Macaca mulatta: one gene and its partners. The protein of the gene in region 1 purifies or fractionates together with the protein of each later gene. This does not show direct contact. Links are inferred from orthologs where the notes say so. Each region holds a gene or a part of one and is shown in the gene's direction. Other genes may lie near its edges. The genes, in order: DYRK1A, EP300, KIAA0232, ANAPC4, TRMT61B, PPP1R3F and RBL1.

Region 1 (2,256 bases):
AGAAGTGGGCATTGGCCAGGTGATGCAGACCGTTGTATCCATTTGGGATTGTTTTGTTTTTCTAAGTGCAGTGAGAAGTCATTAAAGGATTTTAAATAAGTGATTGGATTTGTGTTACGAAAAGATTGTTCCTGCTACCCTTTGGAGAAGGGCAAGGATGGAAGCAAGGAGTTCATTTAGGGGGCTGTTGTGTTAGCCTAGGCAAGAGGAGATGGTGGGGATGAAGAGAAGAGGCCAAATTTGGCATCTGTTTCATAGGTGGCCGCGTAAGTTCTTGCTCATGGGTTGGACAGAGGCATCGTTAAGCAGCTGGGTGTAGATAGTAGTCCTTTATTGAAAGAAGAAAGATGGAGAGAGGAAGGACATGAGGGATAAGTAAAGACTTCCTTTTGGACCTGCCTAGAATACTATCTGGCCTTTTTCGGGGAATATTTGCAGACCCCTAGCATAAACAGTGCTCCCAAGGTAAGACAGTGGCTAGTGAAATAGATGAACCTATTTAAGGATATAACTTTCTACAAATTGCAGCTTTCATGATGAAATTTTTTTGCCCTTGAATGTATTTGGGATGTTGTGTTATAAAACTGTCTAACACATTAAAAGTTTCAAAAACACTTAACCCGTGATTAATGTAATGCTAGTTTATGTCATCGCTTTTGATGGAAGATTAAAGCTTGGAAACAGTCCTCTGAAAAATCCTTTAAAACATCTGTTCTTTCAGGTGCGTCAGCAATTTCCTGCTCCTCTTGGTTGGTCAGGCACTGAAGCTCCTACACAGGTCACTGTTGAAACTCATCCTGTTCAAGAAACAACCTTTCATGTAGCCCCTCAACAGAATGCATTGCATCATCACCATGGTAACAGTTCCCATCACCATCACCACCACCACCACCATCACCACCACCATGGACAACAAGCCTTGGGTAACCGGACCAGGCCAAGGGTCTACAATTCTCCAACGAATAGCTCCTCTACCCAAGATTCTATGGAGGTTGGCCACAGTCACCACTCCATGACATCCCTGTCTTCCTCAACGACTTCTTCCTCGACATCTTCCTCCTCTACTGGTAATCAAGGCAATCAGGCCTACCAGAATCGCCCAGTGGCTGCTAATACCTTGGACTTTGGACAGAATGGAGCTATGGACGTTAATTTGACCGTCTACTCCAATCCCCGCCAAGAGACTGGCATAGCTGGACATCCAACTTACCAATTTTCTGCTAATACAGGTCCTGCACATTACATGACTGAAGGACATCTGACAATGAGGCAAGGGGCTGATAGAGAAGAGTCCCCCATGACAGGAGTTTGTGTGCAACAGAGTCCTGTAGCTAGCTCGTGACTACATTGAAACTTGAGTTTGTTTCTTGTGTGTTTTTATAGAAGTGGTGTTTTTTTTCCAAAAACAAAGTGCAAAGCTGCTTGAATCAGAAGGAGATTAACACACTGAACCGCTACAAGAGGGCAAAGCTGACTTTTTTTTTTTTTAACTTGAAAAGATTGCAAAGGGACATTGAAGTGTTTAAAAGAGCCATGTCCAAACCCATCTTCATGGATAGCTCAGAGGTATCCTCTTTTTGCTCCCCCATTTTAACTTGCCACATCCCAGTCATAGTGGGTTTTTTTTGTCTTTCTATTCAGCAAAAATATTCAGATGTTGGTCTTGGTCATCTGCCAACTAATTTTAAAATAAAAGGCACTGCACATAATTTGCATAAAGGGCCCATGAGGGTGTTTTTTTTTCTTTTTGTCCCCCCCACTATTTTTTTGTTCTGTTTTGTTTTGGGTGGGAGGGTGGGAAATTTGGGTTTTTAAGTCCTCTAAACACACTTGGGCACGGAAATGCAGTACTGTAAGGAAGAGGGACCTCCAGCTTCCACAAACACCATCTTCAGCTGTATGAAAGGGACGGTTGTGTTGAAGTTTGTCAGGCACAGTAAGCATGCTGAGTGGCGGGGATCAGAACTCTCCTATCTGAACCTACTGAGGATCAAAGCAGCAATTACATGGGATCCTGTGGCTCTCCTGTTGTAGAGGCCACAGGAAGATAGGATGGAACGTGACTGGTCTCCTAACCAAGGTGCACTGAGAAGCAATCAACGGGTCAGTCGTGGCCAGTCCTGGGGAGGTCTGAGTGGTGGTCTTTGGGATAACCTTTGGCCTTATGGATTTGGACTCGAAATTAGAAGAGCCTACCATTTCAGATGCAATCACTTTTGGACATGCTTTTGCAGACAGTCCTTAATGCTGAAAACA
Region 2 (3,500 bases), on another chromosome or scaffold:
CAGCCTGGCCAACGTGGTGGTCAGAGACAGGTCAACCCTGTCTCTACAAAAAAATAGAAATATTAGCCAGACGTGGTAGTGGGTACCTGGGAGGTGGAGGTTGCAGTGATCCAAGATCACGCCACTGCACTCCAGACTAGGTGACAGAGTGAGACTCTGTCTTTAAAGAAAAAAAAAATTGCAGATTTATGAGTCCCTGTGGCCCTAACCAAAGTTAAAAAATTATCTAAGATGAGAGAATTATATACCCAGAACAACCTGTAGCTTCCTTGTGAGAGGTTGGTTATGTATATAATAAAAATCCAAATTCTTATCTAATAGTTGAATCCTTATTAATATAACTTTTTTTAAGGGTTTAGAAGCTTCTACTTTGATATCGATACTAATATATTCTCAGTCACGTTGATGAACTGAGAAGTCCCATGAGTCACAGCCATTTTATAAAGTACTGTACTTGATGGACAACTGGTTCATCGTGGCCTCTGATAGACAAGGAGGGACAGAATGAGAGAGGAACCAGTGGATCTGCTTGATTTTATTCTTTATAAAATCAAAGTAGTTCCAGAAAATACTGACTTCTCATTAGGAGGTTTCTTATGACAAGCCTTAGGGAAAAGACAGAGAATGCCAGTTATCTCATTAGAATCTAGTGATTCCAAACAGCCACCCTGTGGGACATCATTATATTTATTGTCTCCTTTTCTGTATCTTTGAAATTTTCTCTGGTGAGAAGGTAAAAACAAAAAAGATAGCCAGTCTTGGCCGGGCGTGGTGGCTCAAGCCTGTAATCCCAGCACTTTGGGAAGCCGAGACGGGCGGATCACGAGGTCAGGAGTTCGAGACCATCCTGGCTAACACGGTGAAACCCCGTCTCTACTAAAAAATACAAAAAAAAACTAGCCGGGGCCGGGCGCGGTGGCTCAAGCCTGTAATCCCAGCACTTTGGGAGGCCGAGACGGGCGGATCACGAGGTCAGGAGATCAAGACCATCCTGGCTAACATGGTGAAACCCCGTCTCTACTAAAAAAATACAAAAAAAACTAGCCGGGCGAGATGGCGGGCGCCTATAGTCCCAGCTACTCGGGAGGCTGAGGCAGGAGAATGGCGTAAACCCGGGAGGCGGAGCTTGCAGTGAGCTGAGATCTGGCCACTGTACTCCAGCCTGGGCGACAGAGCGAGACTCCGTCTCAAAAAAAAAAAAAAAACCAGCCGGACGAGGTGGCAGGCGCCTGTAGTCCCGGCTACTCGGGAGGCTGAGGCAGGAGAATGGCATAAAAACCCGGGAGGCGGAGCTTGCAGTGAGCTGAGATCCGGCCACTGCACTCCACCCTGGGCGACACAGCGAGACTCCGTCTCAAAAAAAAAAAAAAAAAAAAGATAGCCAGTCTTTATTATTTTCTTTCACTCGCTTCTGTATAAATGTGAGCTCCTCTGAAGCAGACATCTTTGAAATCCCCACACACTGCCAGATAATGATAGTTATCAATGAAATAGTTGCTGGCTCTTTGATGTACAACCAGTATTTACAAGTCTTAATTCTCCTGTTCTTAAGTATAATTAAAGGAGGTGAAATGGGCAGAGCAAATGAAAACACCGTGAATGAATATAAGCCAAGAAATAGGTGGCTAATTCTGCTGTCTTGTTGCTTACCTTACATTCTGATTGTATCATTGGCAAACACTGTGTGTGTGTCACCCACTCCCCTTGTTTTTCTGCCCAGCTTTCCCAGCCAGCTGTAAGCATTGAAGGACAGGTGTCAAACCCTCCATCTACTAGTAGCGCAGAAGTGAATTCTCAGGCCATTCCTGAGAAGCAGCCTTCCCAGGAAGTGAAGATGGAGGCCAAAATGGAAGTGGATCAACCAGAACCAGCAGATACTCAACCGGAGGATATTTCAGAGGTGAGAGAGTAGGGCAATTACTGTTTGATTTGGTTAGGACCCCAGTCTAGGAACCCAGTTTTTAAAAAATATTACAGAAAAATACTTTGATAATTAGATCTCATGGCATAGATTTTGCATGAGAAAGGATGTTCAGACTACTGATTCCCAACTAGATATCTTTGGAATACTAAAAACTCTTACCTTTTAGTCTAAAGTGGAAGACTGTAAAATGGAACCTACAGAAACAGAAGAGAGAAGCACTGAGTTAAAAACTGAAATAAAAGAGGAGGAAGATCAGCCAAGTACTTCAGCTACCCAGTCATCTCCAGCTCCAGGACAGTCAAAGAAAAAGAGTGAGTCTCTTAAACCGTTTGTTCTGGAGATAACATGAAGAAACCAAAAACCCAGGGCAGAATTGCAATCATGCCTCTTAGGCCTCAGAAGTTGCCATTAATGTGATTTCATTAACCTTGAAGCCCTGGGCCTGGTCTCTTCATTGTTATTAATAATTTTTCTTTCTTCCTTTCTTTATTTTTTAATATTCACTTGCAGCAACCAATGAGTTAGTCGTTCCCCTCATTTCTTCAGGGTTCCGTGTGTTAGTATCCCCTAAAAATTTTCTTATTTTTCAAGAGAGAAATGTTTGTAAATAGCCTTGACTAAAATGCAGGAAAGAATAGCAATAATAATAGTATTTGTCATTCACCTCCTGTGTGCTGAGTACCCACATTGTCTCATTTAATAATTTCTTTCTTTGTCTTTTTTTTTTTTTTTTTTTTTTTTTTTTGGTTGGATTCGGAGTCTCGCTGCATCGCCAGGCTGGAGTGCAGTGGCACGATCTCAGCTCACTGCAAGCTCCACCTCCCAGGTTCACGCCATTCTCCTGCCTCAGCCTTCCGAGTAGCTGGGACTACAGGCGCCCGTCACCACGCCCGGCTAATTTTTTTTGAATTTTTAGTAGAGACAGGGTTTCACTGTGTTAGCCAGGATGGTTTCGATCTCCTGATCTCGTGATCCCCCTGTCTCGGCCTCCCAATAGTGCTGGGATTACAGGCGTGAGCCACCGCGCCCTGCCTTTTTTTTTTTTTTTTTGAGGCGGAGTCTCGCTCTGTCACCCAGGAGGGAGTGCGGTGGCACGATCTCGGCTCATTGCAAGCTCTGCCTCCTGGGTTCATGCCATTCTCCTGCCTCAGTCTTCTGAGTAGTTGGGATTACAGGCGCCCGCCACCACGCCCAGCTAATTTTTTATATTTTTGGTAAAGATGGGGTTTCACTGTGTTAGCCAGGATGGTCTCCATCTCCTGACCTCATGATCCGCCTGCCTCAGCCTCCCAGGGTGCTGGGATTACAGGCATGAGCCACCATGCCCAGCCGTCTCTTAAACTTAAACCTAACATTCGTCATTAAAATAGTACGTGTCTCTTTTTCTTTGGGTCTAAAATACCAAGCAGTTTAATGAAGGAGTCTTCTGTTGTGTGCCCCTGACTCCTTGTAGTATAAGACAATACCAGATCTAGTCTAGTCCCTGACTTATTAAATACTGATGTCATGAAGAAAGACTTTTCCTTTCTTGCTTGACTGCATCTCCCTCTAAACATGAGTATCTTGTATCTTGTGA
Region 3 (3,500 bases), on another chromosome or scaffold:
CTTCCTTTCGCAGTCTGTTCTGCTCTGAAATCTTCGGTGGCTCCCAGTTTCCTAGCAAATCAAAAACACTTTCTCATTTTCAAGCCCCCTGAAACCAGCCTCCCTGGCTTTTTGTACCCTGCGTTTCTAGTGATCGCTGCTCTAATTAGTTCTCCATTCTGTGAGCATAACGTGTGCCTTCGTGTCCTCACACAGGTTCTCAGGCCTCACAGGTAGTACTCACTAAACTTGCGGAATAAATCTGGAATTCCAACGCTTAGTTGTGGCCCACTTTAACTGTTTTAGACCTCACCAATATCCTCTTTCTGAATACTTGAATGTGGTCATTCCTACCGTTTCTGAGGGCCTGCTTCAATGCCAGGCAGTATGCTAGCGGTTAAAAAGCTGCTTTTCCGACTCATTTTGCATATTAATTCCTTTACTCCTCAGAACTCTGAGAGGTAAATATTACTAGCTCTATTTTTTAGGTGAGGAAACTGAGCTATGGAGAGGTTAAGTAACATGCCAAAGGTCACACAGCTAGTAAAGTAGGCAGAGCCAGGATTTGACCTCAGAGAATGTGGCTTTAGAGCTCATACTCTTGACTGATTTGCTACTGAGCTTTTCAACTGCATATATTTTCAATGCTCACAGTAACTTCATGAGGTAAGTCATAGGATCACCATTTTGCAGTTGAAGAAATAGTCCAAAGCAGTAAATAATGAGCTTAAAGTCGCAAGCAATAGTGACTTAGCTGAGATTCAAATTCAGATACTGCTTACTGAAGAGACTGCATTCTTTCTTCTGTTATTTGTCCTTTTTGACTTCTTAATTAAAACGCAAACTTTGAAGATAAAAACTATCATCTTACATATTTTCTCAGTATTCTTAACAGTGCGTATCACAGTGCTGAGCAAAATGGTGCTTGATGCATGGGACTAATCTGAAGCATATTTTACTGTATTATAAATTATTGTAAAGTTAATGATTCTTGGATGATGTGAATGTTGACACTGCTAAAATGAAATATTCCATTATTTTGGATGGTAGTGTTGTTTTACTGTAACTAAAAAATCTGTATACTCATTTTTTGAACTCTTTACTCTGTTTTTTAGGTACTACGAAGCATTTCCACCGCTTTCTGAGAAACCAGTTTGCCTGCAAGAAATCATGACGGTGTGGAACAAGTCTAAAGTCTGTTCTTACTCTAGCTCTTCTTCATCATCCACAGCCCCACCAGCTAGCACAGATACTTCCTCTCCTAAGGACTGCAACAGTGAAAGTGAAGTCACCAAGGAAAGAAGCAGTGAAGTGCCCACCACTGTGCATGAGAAAACCCAGAGCAAAAGTAAAAACGAGAAGGAAAGCAAATTTAGTAATGGCACAATTGAAGAAAAGCCTGCTTTGTACAAAAAGCAAATCCGACATAAACCTGAAGGAAAGATTCGCCCTCGCTCATGGTCTTCTGGCTCCAGTGAAGCAGGCTCAAGTTCCAGTGGGAATCAGGGAGAATTAAAAGCATCCATGAAGTATGTTAAAGTAAGACACAAGGCACGAGAGATTCGAAACAAAAAAGGGCGGAATGGGCAAAGCAGGCTTTCTTTGAAGCATGGTGAAAAGGCTGAAAGAAACATGCATACTGGAAGTAGTAGCAGTAGCAGCAGTGGTTCTGTCAAACAGCTGTGCAAGCGGGGTAAGAGACCTTTAAAAGAAATAGGGAGAAAAGATCCTGGGAGCACTGAAGGAAAAGACCTGTACATGGAGAACAGAAACGACACAGAGTATAAAGAGGAGCCCTTGTGGTACACCGAGCCAATTGCTGAATATTTTGTTCCTCTGAGCAGAAAAAGTAAACTAGAGACCACATACCGAAACAGACAAGACACAAGTGATCTGACATCAGAGGCAGTGGAAGAATTGTCTGAATCAGTGCACGGTCTTTGTATCAGCAACAATAATCTTCATAAAACATACCTCGCAGCAGGTACTTTCATTGATGGTCATTTTGTAGAAATGCCTGCAGTTATAAATGAGGATATTGACCTCACTGGGACCTCATTATGTTCTCTACCAGAGGACAATAAATACCTGGATGATATTCATCTATCAGAATTAACGCACTTCTATGAAGTGGATATTGATCAATCCATGTTGGATCCTGGTGCCTCAGAAACAATGCAAGGAGAAAGTCGGATTTTGAATATGATTCGACAAAAAAGCAAAGAGAACACAGATTTTGAGGCAGAATGTTGCATAGTGTTAGATGGTATGGAGTTGCAAGGGGAACGTGCAATATGGACAGATTCTACCAGCTCCGTGGGTGCTGAGGGCTTATTCCTGCAGGACCTTGGCAATCTGGCTCAGTTTTGGGAGTGCTGTTCATCCAGCTCTGGTGATGCGGATGGGGAGAGTTTTGGAGGAGACTCTCCAGTTAGACTCTCTCCCATCTTAGACAGCACAGTGCTCAATTCACACCTGCTTGCTGGCAATCAAGAGCTCTTTTCAGATATTAATGAAGGATCTGGTATAAACTCTTGTTTTTCAGTGTTTGAAGTGCAATGCAGTAATTCTGTTTTACCATTTTCTTTTGAAACACTCAACTTGGGAAATGAAAATACAGATTCTAGTGCTAATATGCTTGGGAAAACACAGTCTAGATTGCTAATATGGACCAAAAATAGTGCCTTTGAAGAAAATGAACACTGTTCTAATCTTTCAACAAGAACTTGTAGTCCATGGTCCCATTCAGAAGAAACACGTTCAGACAATGAAACATTAAATATTCAGTTTGAAGAATCCACACAGTTTAATGCCGAAGATATTAATTATGTAGTTCCTAGAGTCTCATCAAATTATGTAGATGAAGAACTTCTAGATTTTTTGCAAGATGAAACTTGCCAGCAAAACAGTAGAACTTTAGGTGAGATTCCTGCATTAGTTTTCAAAAAAACATCTAAACTAGAATCCGTCTGTGGTATTCAGCTAGAACAAAAAACAGAAAACAAAAATTTTGAAACTACACAAGTGTGTAACGAAAGTCCACATGGAGATGGCTACAGCTCAGGGGTTATTAAAGACATTTGGACAAAGATGGCAGACACAAATTCTATGGCCACAGTAGAAATAGAAAGAACTGATGCTGAGTTGTTTTCGGCAGATGTAAATAACTACTGCTGCTGTCTAGATGCTGAAGCTGAACTGGAGACCCTTCAGGAGCCTGATAAGGCTGTGCGAAGGTCAGAGTACCATCTGTGGGAGGGACAGAAAGAGAGCCTGGAGAAAAGAGCATTTGCTTCTAGTGAGCTATCCAACGTGGATGGTGGTGATTATACAACACCCTCTAAACCCTGGGATGTAGCCCAAGATAAAGAGAACACATTCATTCTTGGAGGAGTTTATGGAGAACTCAAAACCTTTAACAGTGATGGGGAATGGGCAGTCGTACCACCCAGCCACACAAAAGGAAGCTTGTTACAGTGTGCAGCTTCTGATGTAGTGACGATAGCTGGTACAGATGTCTT
Region 4 (3,835 bases), on another chromosome or scaffold:
AGAAGTTCTGAAAAATAAATCATATTTAGAATGCCATTGGTATCTTAAAAATGATTTTAAATCCGAATTTGAAGAAAATGTTGAGACCAAGATGTAACCAAAAAGAAAGAATTTGGTTATTTCTATTCCAAATGCCAAATGTCTTTGGATAAATCTGTTTACTTTGGTGACTGTATGATTTTAAACCAAGTTGGTTTATCTGTCTAGGCGTTTAAACCAGTTCTCAGTGTTCTAGAGAAGTAAATGTACTGACCCTGACAATCATGTTCTTTTAAGTGTTTGGATTATTGACTATCCAGGTTGTTCCACTGAGTCTTTTTTTCCCCCCTTCTTTCTTGGAGATCCGTGAGTAATGGACTAATTGCTATTAAATTTGGGAGCTTTACATATGCCACAACGGAGAAAGTCAGAAGAAGGTAAGTCTTGAATCTTGTTTGAGTGATGTGTGTATATGTTTAGGAATCGGGCCAGATCGGTTACGGTGATAATATAGGTAAAAGGGCTTTGTCACTTCCCACATCGAGGGCAGGATTCTTTGTGTATTTATACATAGAGAATGATTTGACTTGTGATTGAATAGAACCTTACTGCCCTGCAGTTTATGTCATATGGTTTCGTATAATTACTCCCGAGCTCCCTGTTGACAAAGAAAGTAATGTGGTTCCCGTGGGCAGATGGCCTGCGGGACTGAAGTTCTTGTTATGACCAAAAAAATTATGAGGTGATGCCATTCTCAGTGATGGGAGATTTTCTTAGGATTCAAAAGGGTAACAGTACCTAAGCCATCCCTGAGACTTCGCAAGGGAAAGAAGTGACTAATCATAGGCTGATCTTTTTCTCACTTGTTTCCTCACATAAAAGAAGTTTTTTTAATGATAAAGTCTTTGGAGTTGCTGTGCCTATTTTTCATGTGTAGTATCTTATTTTTATTTCTCAGTCTAGTCAACTCTGTTTGCTGAACATGTATATAAGGTGTCATTCATAGAATTTCCACAGGTTTAATTTGTATGTCATTCATAGAATTTCTTAAGGCCTAACCATCGATGGCCAGGGGTTTTCTAGAACTGAAACAACTTCACAGATTTTGGGGGGTCATGATTACCCATTTCTAAGATTTGGTTATATATGTGAATAATCAGTACAAAAAATAACTGATTTTAATACAAACCAATGGTATATTTTAAATGTTACTGTACAGAATGTCACTTAATTTTAAAATTTTTTTCTGCTTGCTGCCAGTATGACATGCATACAGTATTTTCTCAGTAGTCATGATCATCTTTGATATAACGAAACTTATTTTAATTCTAGCATCTACAGTTGTTTAGATGCACAGTTTTATGATGATGAAACTGTAACAGTAGTTCTCAAAGACACTGTAGGACGTGAAGGAAGAGATAGACTCTTGGTCCAGCTGCCATTGTCTTTAGTATATAACAGTGAAGATTCTGCAGAATATCAGTTCACTGGGACTTATTCTACAAGGTAACTGGTAAAATTGTCTTTTTGATATTACAGTTAAATATTTTTTAATGCACATTGTAAATTCCAACCTTTCAGGCATGCTAGATAATGGTTATTTCATTACTAGGGGTAACCACAGAGGTAGCTGAGCAGAAGTGCTCCAATTTTTCATTCAAAATATGCTGGCCTTAATAGCTTTTTTTATCCCTTCGCTTTACTAGTAAATCAGGAAGTATTTGCTGGAATCAAGGTGGGGAATTATTTGGAGTGGAGAATGGGACTTCTTTTAGTTACGTTTTCAAGGATTGCATTAACCCTAGTTGGTTGGAATTAGTTATTTTTGATTTGCCTTCAGTATTTTCCTTCCAGAATTAAGACCTCAGTGCCCATGTGGGAAGTATACTGTCAATTCCAAGAGATGGCTTTAACTGAGACTTAAGTAAGCAGATCTCTAATTTAAAAATGTATCCATTTGCTTTCCTTGAAAGGGAGTCAGAAACCTTGCTAAAATGATATTCTGCCTATTTGGAATTGCAGTATTTTCTTTTTTTTTTTTTGAAACAGAGCTTGTGTCTGTCACCCAGGTTGGAGTGCAGTGATGCAATCATAGCTCATTGCAGCCTCAAACTCATGGGCTCAAGTGACCCTCCTGCCTCAGCCTCTCATAGCTGGGACTACAGGCATGTGTCACCTTGTCTGGCTAATTTTATTTTATTTTTTACAGAGATGGAGTCTCACTCTGTTGGCCAGGCTGGCCTTGAACTCCTGGACTCAAGCAGTCCTCCCACCTTGGCCTTGCAAAGTGCTGAGATTCCAGGCATGAGCCACTGTGCCCAGCCAGAATATAGAATATGGAATTTTTATAGAATATTATATCACAGCTCTTTTTTTAATACAACAGTTGCTAAAATTATATTGGAAGTGGAAGTATGAGTAGAAGTCAAAGCCATAATTGACCCTAATACCACCTGTAGCAAACTAGGGAGGAGAAGATCCCCTTTTCATTCCTGGGTGGGTTTTTTCCCTCTTTAGGCTAGATGAACAATGTAGTGCTATTCCCACCCGTACCATGCATTTCGAGAAGCATTGGAGATTACTGGAAAGTATGAAAGCACAGTATGTTGCTGGGAATGGTTTTCGAAAAGTATCCTGTGTGGTAAGTGTTTACAGATCGTTCAGCAACTAAGAAATTACAAGAAGTAACATTGCTTCTTTGGAACCTTCATCAAATACATGACATGTAAGGTCCTTTTGTGCAAATATTTTTGCTGTGATTTATAGCTTGTATTGATTATGGTCATGTGGACTTAGCTATTCTCTCGTTCTGATAAAGCTTACTAAGCAGTTAATAATTCTAGATTTTAATCTCATGAAATTGCCACTGTTGTTATGTGGAGACCTTTTTATACAAAATGAAGGCTGAGTTTATTGATTTTGTTGTAAATTGATGGGAATATGTTTCCTATAAAACCATTCTTTGATTCAGACTTCTGATTTCTAATTCCTTATATATGATATATTAGTTAAGCCATTAATTTAAAAGTGCTTTTATGGCCTTTCTTTTTTAGTTAAGCTCAAATCTTCGTCATGTGAGAGTATTTGAAATGGACATAGATGATGAATGGGAGCTCGATGAGTCTTCAGATGAAGAGGAGGAGGCTGGTAATAAGCCTGTAAAAATAAAGGAAGAAGTGTTGTCGGAGTCAGAGACAGAGAACCAACAAGCTGGTGCTGCTGCTTTCGCTCCGGAGATAGTCATTAAAGTGGAAAAACTTGACCCTGAGCTAGACTCTTAATCTAGCTTGCCATTGTTGTGTGTGTAATTATGGCCAGAAGGACATAGGAGATGGACTAAGATGTCTTGGACCACCTTTAATTTTCTTTGTGTAACAAAGAAATAAACAGTAAATTTTATTTTTTCATATTCTGCTTCATCTTCTCTTAGTGATACAGTCACTCTGATACACTTTATTTTTTCTGAGATTTCTCTTTAATGCTATGTACAGAACTAGTGTTTAAAGAAAACAGGGCCAGGCATGGTGGCTCACACCTGTAATCTCAGCACTTTGGGAGTCTGGGTGGGTGGCTCACTTGAAGTCAGGAGTTCAAGACCAGCCTGGCCAACATGGCAAAACCCAACTCTACTAAAAATACAGAAATGAGCTGGGCGTGGTGCACACACCTGTAATTCCAGCCACTTGGTAGGCTGAGGCATGAGAATCGGTTGAACCCGGGAGCCAGAGGTTGCAGCGGGCTGAGATCATGCCATTGCACTCCATCCAGCCTGGGTGACAGAGTGAGACTGTGTCTCAAAAAAGAAAGAAAGTGAACAAATTGAATGTGAAGAAAAAGTCTAATATTTTCTGTCAGA
Region 5 (3,500 bases), on another chromosome or scaffold:
GAGACCAGTTAGGGCAACACAGGGAGACCTTGTCTCTACAAAAAATAAAAAATTAGCCAGGTATGATGGCACACACTTGTGATCCCAGCTACACAGGAGGCTGAAATGGGAGGATGGCTTGAGCCCAGGAGTTTGAGGCTGCAGTGAGCCATGATCTTGCCACTGCACTCCAGCCTAGGGAACAGTGTAAGACCCTGTCTCAAAAAAAAGGTGAGGGGGCAGGTGCAGTCACTCGCACCTGTAATCTCAGTGCTTTGTGAGGCCAAGGCAGTAGGACTCCTGGAGGCTAGGGTCAAGGCTAACCTGGCCAACCTAGCAGGACCCCATCTTTATAAAAAATAGAAAAAAATTAGTTGGGCATGGTGGTACATGCCTGTGGTCCCAGCTACTTTGGAGGCTGAGGTGGGAGGATGGCTTGAGCCCAGAAGTTCGAGGCTGCAGTGAGCTACTGTTGCACTACTACACTCCAGTCTGAGCGACAGGGTGAGACCCTTTCACCAAAAAAATTTGTTTAATAAATTTAAAAAAAAACCAGTTTTTATTAATGTCATCCATAACATTCGTGTTGTGTTAACAAAAACAATTCCAATTATATGTTTGGCAAATGGGTCCTCCAATCTATTTCTAGCATAGTCCCTTTTTTTCCTTATATAGCAGAGCTCCCCTACCCCCAGGCTGAGGACTGGTACCAGTGCATGGCCTGTAACAGGGAACCAGACCACACAGCAGGTTAGCGGTGGTAGTGAGCATTACTGCCTGAGCTCCATCTCTTGTCAGCTCAGCCATGGCATTAGATTCTCATAGGAGTGCAAACTCCTGTGAACTGCGCATGCGCCAGATGTAGGTTGCATGCCCCTTATAAGAGACTGACTAATGCCTGATAATCTGAGGTGGAACAGTTTCATCCCAAAACCATCACCCTCTCCCCAATCTGTAGAAAAATTGTCTTCCACGAAATGGGTCCCTGGTGCCCAAAAGGTTGGGGACCACTGTTACACAGTATCTTAATTCTAAATGAGAAGCTCATCATTTGGTCGGGCACGTTGGCTCACGACTGTAATCCCAGCACTTTGGAAGGCTGAGGCCGGCAGATCACCTGAAATCAGGAGTTTGAGACCAGCCTGGCCAACATGGTGAAACCCCATCTCTCCTAAAAATATAAAAAATTAGCTGGGCATGGTGGCAGGTGCCTGTAATCCTAGCTATTTGGAAGGCTGAGGCAGGAGAATCGCTTGAACCCAGGAGGCGGAGGTTACTGTGAGCCGAGATTGCACCACTGCACTCCAGCCTGGGTGACAGAGCGAGACTCTGTCCCAAAAAAAATAAATAAGTTCATCATTTTGGGCTGGGCAGGGTGGTTTACGCCAGTAATCCCAGCACTTTGGGAGGCCAAGGCGAGCGGATCACCCGAGGTCAGGAGTTCAAGACCAGCCTGGCCAACATGGGGAAACCCCGTCTCTACTAAAAATACAAAAATTAGCCGGGCATGGTGGCAGGCACCTGTAATCCCAGCTGTTCGGGAGGCTGAGGCAGGAGAATCGCTTGAACCCGGGAGGTTGCAGTGAGCCAAGATCACGCCATCGTACTCCAGCCTGGGGGACAAGAGCGAGACTTCGTCTCCAAAAAAAAAAGAAGTTCATCATTTTATGCAGAGATTATATAGTAAATTCCTAACTGGTCTTCCTGCCTCTTGATTTTTCTCCAGTAGATCCTGTATTCTTCTGCCAGATTAATCCTCATAAAATGCCATTTATATCACCTTGGTGACACACCCTGGTTGCTTATCAGGCCGAGTTCTAATGCCTCATACTGGCATTTAGTTCTCTGCGTATCTCTCCTGAGATAACAAACTGTATTTATTCTACCTCTGCTTTGTTTAAAGCTGTTTTTACCTTGTGATTGTTCCCATAAATTGTCTACTCTTTGTCTTTAAACTAGGCCATCCTGCTGTTCTAAGAACTTATATTGTCTGTAATTTTGGTATTATTCTGAAGTGTTGCCTTATTTGTTAACTGATTCTTGGATCTCTCTTATTTCATCAAGTGAAATATAAACTCTGTAGGCAGAGTGCCTGTAGGCAGGTCCAGAGTCTGATTCGTTTTTTCACTCCCTTCTCCATACTCGACAGTGTAAGATAAGACTAGGCGCTTAGTACATATTTATTGGTCGCTGAGTCACCCATACTGTTTTCAATCATAGGATATTAGTATGATTCTCTTGATGATGGATATCAGCCCAGGTGATACTGTTTTGGAAGCTGGCTCAGGCTCTGGTGGAATGAGCTTATTTTTATCCAAAGCAGGTAAGAGATTGGACTGAGCTGGATCTCGGTAACAAAGAAAACGTTCAATTTGTTCATAATAACAGAAAGTTATGAGGATATTTGGGAAAATACCTAACATTGAGGTAGCATTCTCCTAGAATCTGAATGTGAGCACCTATTTTTCTTTCCATTTTGTACATTTATTCCAGTCAGTCTCTTTCTGATCCTCCCTCCATTTTCTTTGCTTTGTCTTGTTTCCTTCATGCTCTCTAATGCTGCTGCTTTTTTCTTAAGTATACGTTTTATTGGAATATAACATAGCTACAGACAAGTGTGCAGATCGCAAGTGTATACCTCAGCGAATCTTTGTATAGTGACCACTCGTACTTATTCCCCAGATCAAGGTAAGGAGTGTCTCTGCCCCACAGATGCCTCCTCATGTCCCCTCCCAGTCCTTATCATCACCAAAGGAAACCACTATTGTGACTTTTATCACCACTGATTAGTTTTGCCTCCTTTGAACTTATATAAATGGAATCATACAGTATGTACTCCTTTGTATCTGGCTACTCTTGTTCATCATTATGTTTGTGAGATTCACTCATTGCATACAGCAGTAGTTCTTTCATTTTAGTTGCTGTATAGTACTCTCTTCACAATTTACCCATTTACTGTTGATAGACATTTGAGTTGGATATTATAAATAGTGCTGCTCGGAACCTCCTTGTGTACTTGTCATGTTATTGTTGAATAATAGTGCCAGATGAATACTTAGCCTGAGGGAATATGGAAGGAGGTTGTCAGCTGCTGGGGGGAGAGTTAGACATCGTTAGGACCAAAGAATTATAGTAGGTGTTCATAAAGAAATTAATCATAGTACAGAGCTGTTAAGTAAAAAGCTACATTATGAAGAATTATCTCTTTTTTTTCCAGAAAGTCTCTAAAAATTGTCAGTTGATAAAAGTACTGCTTGAAGGTGGGTGTCTGATCAAAAATCAAGAGGTGTATATTAAACATACATTTTTTCATGTTCCTACCACTTAATTTCTGGTTACTTTTATGCTAGTTGATTAGTACCCCTTTGCCTACCTAATTTCTCTGAGTGTCAGGGTTGTTTTGGGTGGTCTGACTGTCTGTACAGTGTTCTCTTCCCTACATAATGATAAACTGTTGAATAGTCACAGTACTTTCTTTGAGTAGATTTTATAAAGATTACAGACAGAAATATGCTGAAATT
Region 6 (3,500 bases), on another chromosome or scaffold:
ACATTGGGAGGCCGAGGAGGGTGGATCACCTGAGGTCAGGAGTTTGAGACCAGCCTGGCCAACATGGTGAAACCCCGTCTCTATTAAAAATATAAAAATTAGCTGGCTGTGATGGTGGGTACCTGTAATCCCAGCTACTTGAGAGGCTGAGGTAGGAGAATCACTTGAACCTGGGAGGCGGAGGTTGCAGTGAGGTGAGATCACGCCATTGCACTCCAGCCTGGCGACAAAACGAGACTCCATCTCAAAAAAAAAAAAAAAAAGTTTCATCCATTGCCAGAAGTATCAAGAACGTCACATTGCCTCTTAGGAAGAAAAAGGTGTAGGCAGTCGCCCCAGCTCCTCTCAGGTCTCTGAACATGTTTTAGTCAATGCTTCCCTCATTTGCCTTAATCTGTAGACACTTGATACTCATTTTCAGAATAAGAACAGTGACTTCTCCATGATGAGATCCCACCCCTGGGAGGACCCACCTGAAATTTACTTGGCTTATGCCACTCAGGGATCTGACTGGCCTGGCGAAGGAGGAAGAAGACCCATAAATATCTACAGTTGATTCAATCCCTGCTGTGTGTCAGGCCCTGATTTCTACCTGTCCGTCCTCATTCCTCTTGACTGCCTTGTGCTTAGTGCACATCCTGACTCCCCGCGGCTCTGTTTTATGTTTTATGAGTGAGGAGGTGAAGTGACCTGCCAGGCTGATATGGGGATGGGAGGGCTAGCATAGGGACCCAGGCCTCTGTGACCTCCCTCGCAGTCTCCATTTGCATTCCTCTGCCTCACAATCTTGTCCGCCTGCCCTTAGAAAAGGTTTTTATTTATTTATTTTTTATTTATTTATTTTTGTGAGATGATCTCTCACTCTGTTGTCCAGGCTGGAGTGCAGTGGTGCGATCTCAGTTCACTGCACTCTCCACCTCTCAGGTTCAAGCGATTCTCCTGCCTCAGCCTCCCAAGTAGTTGGAATTACAGGTGCCCACCACCACGCCCAGCTAATTTTTATATTTTTAGTAGAGACGGAGTTTCACCATGTTGGTCAGGCTGGTCTTGAACTCCTGACCTCAGGTGTTCCACCTGCCTCGGCCTCTCAAAGTGCTGGGATTACAGATGTGAGCCACTGCGCCTGGCCTTTTTTGTTTGTTTGATTTTTGAGACTGAGTTTCACTCTTGTCCCCCAGGCTGGAGTGCAATGGCGCGATCTTGGCTCGCTGAAACCTCTGCCTCCCAGGTTCAAACGATTCTCCTGCCTTGGCCTCCCAACTAGTTGGGACTATGGGTGTGCACCGCCATGCGTGGCTAATTTTTTGTATTTTTGGTAGAGACAGGGTTTCATCATGTTGGCCAGGCTGGTCTTGAACTCCTTGAACTCCTAACCTCAAGTGATCTGCCTGCCTTGGCCTCCCAAAGTGCTGGAATTACAGGTGTAAGCCACCACGCCCAGCCAAAAAGATGGGTTCTTCTATCTTTTCTCTTTCCACAGCCAGGAATATATCCTAAAGAAATGATACAAGTGTCGATAAAACTATGCCCAATGCTGTTTGCTGGTTTGCTTTGCGACCTCTAAATGAAAGAACCTAGCTGCTCAGTAGGAAGGGGATGGTATGATATGAGTATTAAGCAGCCATTTGAAATGTTTGCAAAAGTATATAATGATGTTTCTTACTGTTAAATGGACAAAGCTAGCTGTGAAATTATATCTGTAGAATCTAAATGATTTCATAGAATATCTGGAAGGAAATTTTCCAGAGTGGTAACAGTAGTTGTCTCTGGCTGATGTGTGATTGTTTTTCTTGCTTCTTTAGACTTTTCTGTATTTTGTGAATTTTCTATAAGGAGGCTGTAGGACTTTTAGGATGAGGGGATAACCAAAGGCAGCAGAAGAGAAAACAGCAGCTGTCAGGTGAAGGTGGGCTAGCACAGAGGCTCAGAAGGTGCCAGTGGGTGGCAGAAGTGACCTCTCAGGGTATTAGATCCATGTACTCTCTTCTGCCCCACAGGCCTGCTGAGGAGGAACTGAAGACGAAGAACATGGATGATAACACCCCTGCCGTGGGTAAGCAATTGGCCAGCTTCGGAAGTTTTAGCTTGTATTTACCATGTCTTTCTTCCTACTGTTTTTCTTTCTATAAAAATGAAAAAGGCTGGGCTCAGTGGCTCATGCCTGTAATCGCAGCACTTTGGGAGGCTGAGGCAGGAGGATTGCTTGAGGCCAGGAGTTCAAGAGGAGCCTGGGCAACATAGTGAGACCTCATCTCTTAAAAAAAAAAGAAAAAACAAGACGGGCATGCTGGAATGCACCCGTAGTCCCTGCTACTGGGGAGGCTGAGGTGGGAGGATCATTTGAGCCCAGGAGGTTGACGCTGCAGTGAGTCATGATTGTGCCACTGCACCCCAGCCTTGGTGACACAGCGAGACCCTATCTCAAAAAAAAAAATGAAGGGGCACCCTCTGCTTTAGATTGTCACAGAAAGCTTCAGAGGCAAAACTGCCAGTTGGCTAGGATGGCAGATTTTCTTAACAAAACCATACCTACTTATATGCCTGTCTTGCCCAATGCTGCCTTTCTCTTCCCTCTAGCAGAACATCCTGATGTCCAGGAGTCAGTGGGTCCACTGGTGGCCCCCACCCCTCTCCGTCCGTGGCCCCAGATGACACTTCAGGTAAGTGGGTCCTTGCAGCCTTGGAGTGGACAGCCCAATAGGAGGCTCACAGTGTAACTATTGCTGGGCTGGGTGGTGGGGCCCACTAGTTCTGGGTCCTCTCTGGGTTAGAGGGAGGGCACAAAACTCAGAACCCGATGGGGGAGGGGGAGAATGCAGTTACTCACCTGGGCTTGTAGAAATGTCATTTGTTAATTTAGCAAAAATTTATGGAGTGCTTGCTCTGTGCCAAGCACTGTTACAGACGTGAAAAATGCTCTTCGAGGGGGCTTATGTGTTAGTAGGGTGAGACATGATAAAATAATAGAATGTATGGTACTTTAGGTGATGATGAGTGATAAGGAAAAATATAAAGGAATAGGGAGTGGGTGAGAGACTGTGTGTGTGTGTTGTTGGGTGGGGGGGTTGCAACTTTAGATTGGGTGGCCTGGGAAGGCTTTAGTGATTAGTGAGATCTGAGCGAAGATCTGAGGAAGGTGAGAGAGTGAGCCACGTGGATAACTAAGGGAAGAACATCCCAGGTGAGTGTGAAGTTCCTGAGGTGAGGCCATGACTAACGTGTGTGAGGGACAGTGTAGAAGCCAGTGCAGCGGGGGCAGAACGAGGGAGGGGGAGAGTGGTGCGGGGTGAGGGCAGAGAGGTGGCTGAGGACAGATTGGGTGGCACCTCACAGGCCATGGTGAGGACTTTGGCTTTTACTCCGAGTGAGGGGGAGCTGCAAGAGCATTGTGGACGGAGGAGGGACGTGATCTGATTTAGGATTTAACAGCCTCCCTCTGGCTGCTGCTTGGAAAATAGACTGTCAGAGCGAGGGTGGAAACTGGCGACCTGTGAAGGGGA
Region 7 (3,500 bases), on another chromosome or scaffold:
CCAAATATAAAAACAATTTTTTTTTTTTTAAGATGGAGTTTCGCTCTTGTTGCCCAGGCTGGAGTGCAATGGTGCGATCTCGGCTCACCGCAACTTCGCCTCCCAGGTTCAAGCAATTCTCCTGTCTCAGCCTCCCGAGTAGCTGGGACTACAGGCATGCGCCACCACGCCTGGCTAATTTTGTGTTTTTAGTAGAGACAGGGTTTCTCCATGTTGGTCAGGCTGGTCTCAAGCTCCTGAACTCAGGTCATCCACCTGCCTTGGCCTCCCAAAGTGCTGGGATTACAGGTGTGAGCCACTGCACTGGCCAAAAAACAACATTTTTGAAGTCCTTTGTAAGGGAGCATAATTTTTTGTAAGCCAAAAAAATGTTTAGTAATCTGACGAATGTTTTGCTGCTATTGATAAGAATCTTTTAATGAGGTTCTTAAGAGTGTCAGATTTTAATCAGCATGTCCGGAGTTTGAATGCTGTATTAGGACATTTTACATTGCTATGAAGGAATACCTGAGGCTGAGTGACTTATTTAAAAAAAGAAATTTAATTGGCCCAGGGTTCTGCAGGCCGTGTAGGAAGCATGGGGCTGGCATCTGCTCCTGGTGAGGGCCTCAGGAAGTTTACAGTCATGGTGGAAGGTGAAGGGGGAGGAGGCACATTGCATGATGAGAGCAGGAGCAATTGAGGGTGGGAAGTGCCACACTTTTAAACAGCCAGATCTCAGGTGAGTGACAACTAAACTCATTACCATGAGGACAGCACCAAGCCATTCATGAGGGATCTGCTCTGATGACCCAGACACCTCCCACTAGGCCCACCTCCAACATTGGAGGTCACTTTTCTTTTTTATTCTATTTTATTTTATTTTTATTTATTTATTTTTTTGAGACGGAGTCTTGCTCTGTCGCCCAGGCTGGAGTGCAGTGGCACAATCTCGGCTCACTGCAACCTCCGCCTCCTGGGTTCACGCCATTATCCTGCCTCAGCCTCCTGAGTAGCTGGGACTATAGGCTCACGCCACCATGCCCAGCTAATTTTTAGTAGAAACAGAGTTTCACCTTGTTAGCCAGGATGGTCTCAATCTCCTGACCTCGTGATCCACCCACCTCGGCCTCCCAAAGTGCTGGGATTACAGGCGTGAGCCACCGCGCCCGGCCTCTTTTTTATTTTTTTGAAAGTCTTTTACTCTCTTGCCCAGGCAATAGCATGTTCATGACTCACTGCAGCTTCAACCCCTCAGGCTCAAGTGATCCTCCTGCCTCAGCTCCCTGAGTAGCTGGGCCCACAGGCACACACCACCATGTTTTGCTAACTTTTACTTTTTTTTTTTTTTTTTTTTTTTTTTTTTTTTTTTTTTTGAGACGGAGTCTCGCTCTGTAGCCCAGGCTGGAGTGCAGTGGCCGGATCTCAGCTCACTGCAAGCTCCGCCTCCCGGGTTCATGCCATTCTCCGGCCTCAGCCTCCTGAGTAGCTGGGACTACAGGCGCCCGCCACCTCGCCCGGCTAGTTTTTTGTATTTCTTAGTAGAGAGGGGTTTCACCGTGTTAGCCAGGATGGTCTCGATCTCCTGACCTCGTGATCCACCCGTCTCGGCCTCCCAAAGTGCTGGGATTACAGGCTTGAGCCACCGCGCCCGGCCTTAACTTTTACATTTTTTGTAGGGACGAGGTCTCACTGTGTTGCCCAAGCTGGTCTCAAACTGGTGGACTCAGATGATCCTCCAGCCTCACCCTCCCAAAGTGTTGGGATTACAGGCATGAGCTACCATGCCCAGCCAAGGAAATTACATTGCAACATGAGATTTGGAGGGGACAAAACATCCAAACCATATTACATAGCATTGGATAATTTTCTGTTAATGTCTTCTGTCACCTTAAAAAGAAATTATAAGTATTGGCTGGGCAAAATGGACTTAAGTAAGCCTTTCCAATATACATGAAATAATCAGAACATAGGGCCGAGTGCAGTGGCTCACGCCTGTAATCCCAGCACTTTGGGAGGCTGAGGCAGTTGGATCATCTGAGGTCAGGAGTTCAAGACCATCCTGGCCAACATGGTGAAACTTCGTCTACTAAAAATACAAAAATTAGCCGGGCATGGTGGTGCGTGCCTGTAGTCCCAGCTTTCAGGAGGTGGAGGCAGGAAAATTGCTTGAAGCTGGGAGGCAGAGGTTGCAGTGAGCCAAGATCATGCCACTACACTCCAGCCTGGGTAACAGAGTGAGACTCCATCTCAAAAAAAAAAAAAAAAAAATTACAAGTATTATTCTGTGTATATTGCTAGACCTTTAATTAAGTGAGCTTTGACATTGCAAGTTTTCTATCTAAGACCACACTAACATACAGACATAAAAAAATATACCCAGAATTGGGCTGGGCGCGGTGGCTTGCCTGAACACAGGAGGTGGAAGTTGCAGTGAACCAAGATGGTGCCACTGCACTCCAGCCTGGGCAGCAGAGCTATTAAGTTTTTTTCTGAGTATGTGCTACCTTTACTTTTGGTGGTGGAACCACGCATTGGAACTCAAACTCTTGAGTTTTACTCCTAACCTATAACAATCTGGTGCTTCATAATCAAATTCCCATTTGGAAAATGAAATTGTCTTTCCATTTGGGAGACTTCTGTTTTTCCTCAAACTAATTTTATAACCTATCAATCTGTTAACTAACATTAACTTTGTAAATTTTATGCAGAATACTGTCTAGGTAATATAGAGAATAAAGGAAGTAGATAGGCGCTCTTGCTCCCTCCATAGAAGTAAGGCTCTATGTGATGACCACTAATTAATAACCTGTATTCTCCTGGTGATCCTGGGAACCAAAGTGGTTTCATAATGAGGATTTTTTTTTAATTAAATTTAGGCTTGAGGGATGGTGTTTGTTCTTTGTTCATGTGAGACAGTGTCTTGCTTTGTGACCCAGGCTGGAGTGCATGATCGAGGCTCACTGCAGCCTCGACATCCTAGACTCAAGCAATTCTCCCACCTCAGCCTCCGGAGTAACTGGAGCTACAGGCACGTGCCACCACACCCAGATAATTTTTTTAATTTTTGTAGAGTTGGGGTCTTACTATGTTGCCTGGGAGGTCTGGCTTTTTAATAAAGAATCTTAGTCGTGAATAGAATATTTCCTTTCAATCCGTTATATAAATGAATTTTAAAGATGACTTTTTTCTCCTCCCTTTTTTTTTTTTAGTTTAATACAATTTTTTAGTAAAATGAAGAAGTGGATGGACATGTCAAATCTACCACAAGAATTTCGTGAACGTATAGAAAGGCTAGAGAGAAATTTTGAGGTGTCTACTGTAATATTCAAAAAATATGAGCCAATTTTTTTAGATATATTTCAAAATCCATATGAAGAACCACCAAAGTTACTGCGAAGCCGGAAGCAGAGGTGAGCCCTTAATCCTTACATAATTGACAAAAAGATTATGATACAAACTAAGAGAATGTACTTTTTCGAAAGTCTGTTTTTTATGAAAAGTATTCCTGCAAAGAGCTT

Evidence for each region.
Region 2: the proteins of DYRK1A (region 1) and EP300 purify together in Homo sapiens (affinity purification with mass spectrometry; 4 studies listed by BioGRID and IntAct, with this or other methods). This does not show direct contact. The link is inferred for Macaca mulatta from reciprocal best matches to the Homo sapiens genes DYRK1A and EP300.
Region 3: the proteins of DYRK1A (region 1) and KIAA0232 purify together in Homo sapiens (affinity purification with mass spectrometry; 3 studies listed by BioGRID and IntAct, with this or other methods). This does not show direct contact. The link is inferred for Macaca mulatta from reciprocal best matches to the Homo sapiens genes DYRK1A and KIAA0232.
Region 4: the proteins of DYRK1A (region 1) and ANAPC4 purify together in Homo sapiens (affinity purification with mass spectrometry; 3 studies listed by BioGRID and IntAct, with this or other methods). This does not show direct contact. The link is inferred for Macaca mulatta from reciprocal best matches to the Homo sapiens genes DYRK1A and ANAPC4.
Region 5: the proteins of DYRK1A (region 1) and TRMT61B purify together in Homo sapiens (affinity purification with mass spectrometry, with the first as the bait; 3 studies listed by BioGRID). This does not show direct contact. The link is inferred for Macaca mulatta from reciprocal best matches to the Homo sapiens genes DYRK1A and TRMT61B.
Region 6: the proteins of DYRK1A (region 1) and PPP1R3F purify together in Homo sapiens (affinity purification with mass spectrometry; 3 studies listed by BioGRID and IntAct, with this or other methods). This does not show direct contact. The link is inferred for Macaca mulatta from reciprocal best matches to the Homo sapiens genes DYRK1A and PPP1R3F.
Region 7: the proteins of DYRK1A (region 1) and RBL1 purify together in Homo sapiens (affinity purification with mass spectrometry; 3 studies listed by BioGRID and IntAct, with this or other methods). This does not show direct contact. The link is inferred for Macaca mulatta from reciprocal best matches to the Homo sapiens genes DYRK1A and RBL1.

Annotation. Positions count from the first base shown.
Region 1 is NC_133408.1:9,954,260-9,956,515, reverse strand, and holds the end of DYRK1A (dual specificity tyrosine-phosphorylation-regulated kinase 1A), read left to right. Parts: intron 1-721; coding exon 722-1,342; 3' UTR 1,343-1,756; downstream 1,757-2,256. UniProt on the Homo sapiens protein: Dual-specificity kinase which possesses both serine/threonine and tyrosine kinase activities. Exhibits a substrate preference for proline at position P+1 and arginine at position P-3.
Region 2 is NC_133415.1:10,362,740-10,366,239, reverse strand, and holds part of EP300 (histone acetyltransferase p300), read left to right. Parts: intron 1-1,720; coding exon 1,721-1,900; intron 1,901-2,090; coding exon 2,091-2,235; intron 2,236-3,500. UniProt on the Homo sapiens protein: Functions as a histone acetyltransferase and regulates transcription via chromatin remodeling. Acetylates all four core histones in nucleosomes. Histone acetylation gives an epigenetic tag for transcriptional activation.
Region 3 is NC_133410.1:6,174,698-6,178,197, reverse strand, and holds part of KIAA0232 (uncharacterized protein KIAA0232 homolog), read left to right. Parts: intron 1-1,094; coding exon 1,095-3,500.
Region 4 is NC_133410.1:24,433,668-24,437,502, forward strand, and holds the end of ANAPC4 (anaphase-promoting complex subunit 4), read left to right. Parts: intron 1-341; coding exon 342-416; intron 417-1,311; coding exon 1,312-1,485; intron 1,486-2,496; coding exon 2,497-2,620; intron 2,621-3,032; coding exon 3,033-3,260; 3' UTR 3,261-3,335; downstream 3,336-3,835. UniProt on the Homo sapiens protein: Component of the anaphase promoting complex/cyclosome (APC/C), a cell cycle-regulated E3 ubiquitin ligase that controls progression through mitosis and the G1 phase of the cell cycle.
Region 5 is NC_133418.1:96,108,020-96,111,519, forward strand, and holds part of TRMT61B (tRNA (adenine(58)-N(1))-methyltransferase, mitochondrial), read left to right. Parts: intron 1-2,199; coding exon 2,200-2,302; intron 2,303-3,500.
Region 6 is NC_133426.1:49,355,546-49,359,045, forward strand, and holds part of PPP1R3F (protein phosphatase 1 regulatory subunit 3F), read left to right. Parts: intron 1-1,997; coding exon 1,998-2,053; intron 2,054-2,577; coding exon 2,578-2,660; intron 2,661-3,500.
Region 7 is NC_133415.1:89,931,709-89,935,208, reverse strand, and holds part of RBL1 (retinoblastoma-like protein 1), read left to right. Parts: intron 1-3,191; coding exon 3,192-3,392; intron 3,393-3,500. UniProt on the Homo sapiens protein: Key regulator of entry into cell division. Directly involved in heterochromatin formation by maintaining overall chromatin structure and, in particular, that of constitutive heterochromatin by stabilizing histone methylation.